Cricetulus griseus: one gene and its partner. The protein of the gene in region 1 binds, or shares a complex with, the protein of each later gene. Links are inferred from orthologs where the notes say so. Each region holds a gene or a part of one and is shown on either strand. Other genes may lie near its edges.

Region 1 (3,660 bases):
TGCCCATGTCCGTTGGGTTCCATCCCCCCATGCCCTGTCCTGGAGTTGGGACGTTGGTTTTGCAACAGCTTTGGCTGCAGCTCCTGGAAGAGATGGGAGGGGAGCTGGCCACAGAGTAGGGGGGCTGGGCCCTGGGTCCTGTCTCCATTGTTGGAGGAGAGCATTCCCCCTGTGTGGTTCCAAATTGGAACCCACACTCTGGCCACTGTCAAGGGCAGCAACTCCTTCTCATGGGTGCCCAGGCATTAATGGGGTCAGGTGGGACTGTGTTCCCCATTGTGAGGAGCAATCATCAAATTAGGGGCTAAGGTGCTACAGTGTGCACCCCAAGTTTAAATGACCTGTTGTGCTGGGCATGGTGGCCCATACCTTTAGTCCCAGTGCTGAGGATGCAGAGGCAGGTGGATCTCTGTGAGTTCCAGCCAGCCTGGTCTACAGAGTGAGACTTTGTCTCAAACATACACACATTCACCTGTCACTGGGTGTGTAGAGCCTCCATGTCCCTCAAGTTTTCTGACTTAATTAAGAATCCAGCTATCCATTCTCTGTCACCCCAAGAAAAAGTCATGCTGACACCGAGCCTTTGACAACGCAATGCATTATGTATTGCTGTTATTACCATGCTTAGGTAAATAAGCTGAGGCTGAGGGATTGGCTGGGCCTCAGGGCACCAAACTGGGCCTGGAGATGCACATCTGTTATCCCAGCACTCAGGAGGTGGAGGCAGGGGAATTAAGAGTTTGAGGCCAGCCTGGACTATTTGAGATCCTATTTTATTTTATTTTTGGTTTTTTAGAGACAGGGATTCTCTGTGTCACCTTGGATGTCGTGGATCTCTGTGGACCAGGCTGGTCTTGAACTCACAGAGATCTGCCTTCCTCTACCTCCTGAGTGCTGGGATTAAAGGTGTGAGCCACCTTTGCCCAGCCCTGAGGTCCTGTTTTTTAAAAAAAAAAAAAAAAAGAGAGAGAAAAAAGATGGCTTGCTCAGTTGTCACTGATATTCAGCAGCGTGTATGAAGTTGAGTGGAGACCCTGGGGGGGGCACGCCTCTCCATGCCACCCACATTGTCCTGTCCTCAGGGAGGAAGTGGGGCTGTGACCGGCATGGGGCAATACAACGGCCTCTGGCTGCAGCTATAAGTATGGCTGTTAGGTAGGGCTGTGGAGAGCCACCAGAGCATAGCCCCACCATGACCCCCAGCCCATCATCCAGCCGGCTTCCTGCTTCCATGCTGCTGGCCTTGCTCCTGGGTGGTGAGTGAGGATGGCCACACTGACCTTTGTCATCTCCATTGTCTTTCCTAATTCTCCCAGGGCTTTAGAAAAAGACATGGAATTTTGCAGTGCCCAGAACACTGTAAGGAAAGAAGGGAGGTGCTTGGATCTTCAGTACAGGAGTACCTTGGGCAGGTTCTTGTTCCTCTCTGCCTCAGTTTCCCTCATCAACATTGTGAGTTCTCATTGGGGGTTCAAACAACTTGGTGGCTGGGGCTCATTCTTCCTCCCCGTGTGTCCCTAGGCCCGGTGCTGGCCTCAGAGATTGTGGGTGGCCGGCCAGCCCAGGCACATGCTTGGCCCTTCATGGTGTCCCTGCAGCGGCGTGGAGGTCACTTCTGTGGTGCCACGCTCATCGCCAGGAACTTCCTCATGTCAGCAGCCCACTGTGTGAATGGCCTGTGAGTCCCCTCTTCGTCCCTCTCAATCCTCAGTGTCCACATGGGCCAGACCAGAGAGGTCAGGTGGGGGCTCCCACTCATACTCCTCCCCTCTCCGCTGTCCACAGAAACATCCGGTCAGTGCAGGCAGTGCTGGGAGCTCACAACCTGCGGCGAAAGGAGCCCACTAGACAGATCTTCTCTGTGCAGCGGATCTTCGAGAATGGCTTTGACCCCACTCGTCTGGTGAACGACATTGTGATCATCCAGGTAGGCTTGGGAGTCCGGGAGCCTGAGACTCAGGTGCAAAGGTCTTGGAGTTCAGGCTTGAGAAAGGTGCAGTGCGGAAGGCTCTGGGAGTGGGGAATGGGGCACAGACACAGTGGGGCAACTTCAGTTATTGCCTCTGAGCCTGTTTCCCACTGAGCACAGTGGGAATAGCTGTCCTGTAGGCCTGATGGTGATGGCTCATAAGATCTAATATATGGAAAGTTCAGGGCAGTGTTCAACAAATTCCTGTTATTTGCGCTTCTCTGCTCACTGACTCTGTGACTCTGGGGTACCTGGGGGAAATATTCTTTTTTTGGTTTTTAGGGATAGGGTTTCTCTGTGTAGCTTTGGAGGCTGTCCTGGAACTCACTCTGGAGACCAGGCTGGCCTCGAACTCACAGAGATCTGAATGCCTCTGCCTCCCGAGTGCTGGGATTAAAGGTGTGCACCAGCAACACGCGGCTGGGGGAAATATTCATTTCTTCCTCCAGTTCCTAACCATCCCCACCACTTGGTGGCAGGGTACTAAGCCATTGTCTAAAGTGCCCTGCGACTTCTTCGTGTTCTAAGTCTCTCCCTTACTCACTGTCCCTCACCTCAGCTCAATGGCTCAGCCACCATTAACACCAACGTGCAGGTGGCCCAGCTGCCTGCCCAGGGCCGTGGCGTGGTTAATGGAACTCAATGCCTGGCCATGGGCTGGGGCAGGCTGGGCACGAACCGACCGGCACCCAATGTGCTCCAAGAGCTCAATGTGACCGTGGTGACAAATTTCTGCCGCAACCGTCTGAATGTATGCACGCTGGTGCCACAACGGAGAGCAGGCATCTGCTTTGTAAGTTCCCTTTTGCAGTAGAAGGGATTGTGGTCAGACCCAAGGGATGACTTCCCAGTGCTGGAGCATGAGTAAGGGGGTGCCGAGAGGGCCAGTCTCTGACCTTGACACCTCCTCAGGGGGATTCTGGAGGACCCTTGGTCTGTAACGGGCTTGTCCAAGGCATCGACTCCTTCATCCGCGGAGGCTGTGGGTCTGGATTTTTCCCAGATGCCTTCGCGCCTGTGGCTGAGTTTGCAGACTGGATCAATTCCATTATCCGAAGCCATGACAACCATCCCCATATCCACCCCAGAGACCCTGAGAGCAGCAATGACTAGGACCTGCCTGTCCTCCCAGTGCCGTCAACCTCAAGGGACAGCTCTCAATAAAAGCAGCATTTGCTTTGTTTGCTGGGTCTGGTGTCTGTTGTCAGTGCCACAGAATGTAGAGCAAAGCCACTATCTAATGTGAGGGGCACCTCCTGGGGACTTGGCTACCAAGCTAGGGCAAAGTCACAGCAGGAGACACGTTCCCCACGTTGTACAAAAAGAGATCAGTGAGATGGCCCTTTTGGGCTTCTGTCCCCTAAAACCCATGTTCAGTTAGGTCTCAGAACTAGGAGGCTGAGGCGGGAAGATTGTCATGAATTTAAGGACAGCCCAGGCAACGAGTGAGGCCCTGTCTCAGAAAACACAGAGGGGCTGGAGAGACAGTTCAGCAGTTAAGAGCATCTGCTGCTCCCAAAGGAGACCTCGGTTCCCGAGTGTGGCTCACAATTACCTATAGCTCCTGTTGCAGGGGGCTTGTCCTCTGGACTCTGGACACCAGGCATGCAATACACACCCCCATACACAGAACTAAGAATAATAAAAGTAAATCTACCAAATAAATAAGCTAGGACTGGTAAGGTGGTGCG
Region 2 (4,002 bases), on another chromosome or scaffold:
CAAAAAAAAAATTATTTTTAGGAGGTAAAGTCACGTTTTCAAATGTCAATACTGTTCGATTCATACTGTAACTTTAAACTTCCCAAACCATAAACCCTCCCATTTCATTCCATGAATGTAGAAGGAAGCCTCTTCTCCAAACCTTCCCTTATTGACCCTTGCCACACCCTTCCCCTCAGTGATTCACAGAGGCAGGGTGTGCTTAGAGACATAAACGCGTTTATTTATTTGCTCTCTGATGGTATTGCCTTAAAGACTCCTGAATGCTGAGCATGTACCAAAGGGAGCTGTTGGTGGCAGAAGCAAACCCTCTCCACTGGATCCAAGATGGGAGCTGGGGAACCTGAGAGCAGAGAAGGAGGTTCCAGAGCACACACAGCACGGTTCAGAGCTGCCTGAAATGCCAGGGATCAGGCTACAAGAGAAAATAAGATAAGACCTTCAACATAGAAGCCAAACAAATCATTTCCCTCTGGTCCTCCATAAGGAAGTCAGCTGAGAGAGGTCAAACAACAAAGCAGGACTGGAGGTGAGAGGATTGTGGATTTCAGGAGAAAAGTTCAAGTCTCACGTTCATTGTAAAATTCAAAACTCAGAGCATTGAACTAGACATCCCTCTAATTATATCTACGCTTTGTGCTTTAACCCTAGACACGACAAAGCAAATAACTTGGACAATGAATAATGCATACAGTGCCTTACAAAACATTTTCAAATTCAGCATTTCCATTCTGTAGATAGAGACTCAGAAAGTCATTCACCCATGGCCCTTATCCAGACACACTGTGTAGATTCAAAACCACAGACAATCCTATGTGTTTGCCCTAAGAAATAGGGGACAGCGCCCTTAAAGGACAAGCCAGACAGAGGCTGTTGGTTACAGTCTCCCTGCCATAAGCCCTGACCTCCAGAGCCTTGAAGCTGAAAAGGTCTGAAAAGCAATGAGTCTGTCCACCCCAGCTGACTCCTTACCTTACTGTGGGAGAAGGCAGAGTTTCCCACACATGCCCAGGCAACACTTATAGTTGCCAGCACACTCGCCATCCCTCTTACACCTATTGGGAGGATTCAGCATCAAACATTGTCCTTGAATCTTTGGGCACTTGCCAGGCTTCGACCTCACTGGTGACAGAAGAAGCACAGGTCAGATGTCTTAGACTTCAGCCACCACATCACTGCTTCTTTAACCCACCTTCTTCAGCCTGAGCAAGGAAAATCACCCCCATTTACCCCTCACCTCAATCACCTACTCCCAGATATGTCCCCTGAAACAACACCTGGTTCCCCTCTAACATCTGCCTCCAGACAATGCAGGTGGCCGGCTGTCTGGTACTGAAAGGGTTGACGGCTTCCATCAAGCTGAATGCCCAGATGATTCTTTGCAAAACCATTACAGAATGGCTGCCTCAGACAAGAGGCTTTTCCTGCTGATGGCAGCATGATGCCTTGACTGATGCCATGTTGGATTCAACCACTCTTAGAAGCAAGCATGCCTAGGAGGACCCCTTCCCGAAATCCCATCCCCTTCAGTGCTAGGTCTTGAGGTTCATTCCTCTGCTCCTGGGTCCTCTGCTGGCTCACCTGCAGTGCGGATGGGAAGAGGATCAATGCATTTGAAACCACACCTAAATTGGCAGCACCTCTTATTTCCCGGGCATTGCCAGTCAGAATCACACTCTGGTTTCTCCTTCCTCAGGCAGTTGACAGGCCTTCTAGAAGGGCAGGCACCACTTTTGATAGCATCTAAAGAGGATGTCATGATGTTAGGAGAGCATGGAACAACTATCACAATTCATAGACAAAGGACCACTTTCCAAACTGTAAATCCTCATCCCAGTAGCCCACAACTACAAAGGGGATTAACTGCAGAAGAAAGCAAAAGGAACAAACAAATATGACAGGCTTGGTCAAACCAGACATGTAAACAGGAAAAACATCACAGACTGAGGACAAAAGGCACAGGGTTCCCAATCAAGTTTTTCCACCTCATGGCTAAGCTAGATTACCAAGGACAGAAGGGGAGAGTGGGAGTAATGGAGACAAGAGAAATAAACAGGAAGGGAACAAACCTGTGAGATGTTGAGAACTAAAGCCAGAGGCAGAAACAGAAAGGACAGGAACAGAGAGAGAGTGAGGCCTGGGTTGACAGGGTGGTTTAATAATCAAGGGAGCATTCTTCCATGCCTTGAAGCCTCATAGGAACCTCTGACCCCAGCAAGACATGGATGCCACCAGGAAGTCCTGAGTAAGCTGAGGACAGCCTAGAGAAAGGAAGACACCAAAACCACCAGGAACCCTCACCTCTGACATTCTAGGCCAAAATAACCCCAACTCACCATTTTTGCCTCCTTCCACAGTCCAGGATGCCAGGATCCCCAGAGCAAGGAGCACCATGAAAGGGAAGAAGGTACTGGACTTCATGGTGAAGGCAGAGTGGCTCTGATGAGCAGTCCCAAGCATCACTATTTGTATCTTTACCAGAGGGTGTGGCTGCAGTGGGGTGTATTTGGCCCCTCCCACATGCTATTGCATAGTCAGGAAGCTTTAGCCAGAGAACAGAAGTCTTGATACTACAGAAGTAGATGGTAGACTTTCTGCTTCAGACAGGACCATGAGGCCAGCAGAGTAACTACCAGAGAGTTGAAAATGAAAGAAGTAGTTTGGAAGTTGTCCTCAGAGGGACATTCAGAGGGACATGTCCACCTGTGCCCTGAGCATTGTGAAATCTGAAACCCTATAGCCCTTACTGGTAGAGAAGAGTAGTAAGGGTCAGTCACAAAAGGGCCACCAGGACCTGATGCTGAAACATAGGAAGTGAACTCTCAGCTGAGACTGCAATGTGCCTCTATTTCTCAAGTTCCTGGACTTTCTGGGATTTTGAAATTCTAAGCTATTGCTCAATGCAAATTTCTTCTCAAAATACAGATGACGCATGGTTCAACCAATTGACATTTATCTCTGCCAAATGATTTGCACCGCTGTTTTCCCAGTGCCTATTTCATGACTGAAACACAGAATACAATCTCTAAATAAATGAAGGTTGTACGCAGAAGGGCATTGGCCCTCAGCAAATCTCTTTGGAGATCAGTTTCCTAGGCATGAAATGACTTAGGACTGGTCCTGAGATTAAGAGTTTGAAATCACACTTAATTAATGAACTGCATCCCTGGCTACAAGTGACCATTGAGATGGATTGGAGCAAAGGGATAAATTCTCTCACTCGTCACTGTAATCAGCACTGAGCTATGGTATCATTTCTGTTGTTAAAGGAATTCTTTCTATCTCTAAATCCACTATGGGCATCAAATGTCAGAAAAAATTATGGCTGCTGTGTGTTCAGCCCATTGTGTGTAAAATCCAGTGTGTCCAAATTGAGTCTAATTCTTAAGAGAGCCACCCTTCTCTGTACAATTCAACCCAATCTTCCCTACCTGCAAAGTTCGAGTCTTGCCTCAACATCATATGATCTTGTTTTTAAATTTCATACATGTTGGTTTGTAAATACGTGTGTGTGTGTGTGTGTGTGTGTGTGTGTGTATAGTTACCCTCCTCCCTCTACTTCCTCCAATGTTTTCCCTACCCTGAACTCCCTCTCAAACTTGGCTTCTTTTTCTTTATTGGGAGTAGGGGATCAAAACAGCTAGCTCTAGCTGTCCTGGAACTCACCCTGTAAACCAGGATGACCTTGAACTCCAAGAGATCTGCCTGCCTCTGCCTCTTGAGTGCTTGAATAAAGGTGTGTACCACCAACAGATGGTATTGGCCTCTTGTTCTTTAATTATTACTGTTCTGTGTGTATATGAATAGATATATTATTACAACCTGCCAACTACATTTAGTGTTGTTCATGTGCACACATTTTATGGGTGACCACTTAATATTGCATAGCCAGCTAGGTGGCTCACCCATGAGGAAAACTTCATCTCTCATTAATTTCCTGCATCTCATCATCTGGGTGGGGACCCTATAAGATTTCCTCCCTTCCACAGTGGCATGTCAACT

The links. Proteins that work in one complex are often made in the same cells at the same time.
Region 2: the proteins of Elane (region 1) and Slpi are in contact, whole or in part, in a crystal structure (PDB 2Z7F), measured with the Homo sapiens proteins. The link is inferred for Cricetulus griseus from reciprocal best matches to the Homo sapiens genes ELANE and SLPI. Residues at the interface, in NP_001963.1 of Homo sapiens: His53, Phe54, Cys55, His70, Cys71, Asn74, Val75, Pro111, Val112, Asn113, Leu114, Leu158, Ile165, Leu180, Arg182, Val197, Cys198, Phe199, Gly200, Asp201, Ser202, Ala216, Ser217, Phe218, Val219, Arg220, Gly221; in NP_003055.1 of Homo sapiens: Tyr93, Gly94, Gln95, Cys96, Leu97, Met98, Leu99, Pro102, Phe104, Met121, Cys122.

Annotation. Positions count from the first base shown.
Region 1 is NC_048598.1:100,685,243-100,688,902, forward strand, and holds Elane (neutrophil elastase), read left to right. Parts: upstream 1-1,192; coding exon 1,193-1,256; intron 1,257-1,521; coding exon 1,522-1,678; intron 1,679-1,785; coding exon 1,786-1,927; intron 1,928-2,528; coding exon 2,529-2,762; intron 2,763-2,881; coding exon 2,882-3,082; 3' UTR 3,083-3,130; downstream 3,131-3,660. UniProt on the Homo sapiens protein: Serine protease that modifies the functions of natural killer cells, monocytes and granulocytes. Inhibits C5a-dependent neutrophil enzyme release and chemotaxis. Promotes cleavage of GSDMB, thereby inhibiting pyroptosis. Promotes blood coagulation.
Region 2 is NC_048599.1:15,125,594-15,129,595, reverse strand, and holds Slpi (antileukoproteinase), read right to left. Parts: upstream 2,807-4,002; 5' UTR 2,461-2,806; coding exon 2,337-2,460; intron 1,744-2,336; coding exon 1,582-1,743; intron 1,123-1,581; coding exon 974-1,122; 3' UTR 973-973; intron 416-972; 3' UTR 200-415; downstream 1-199.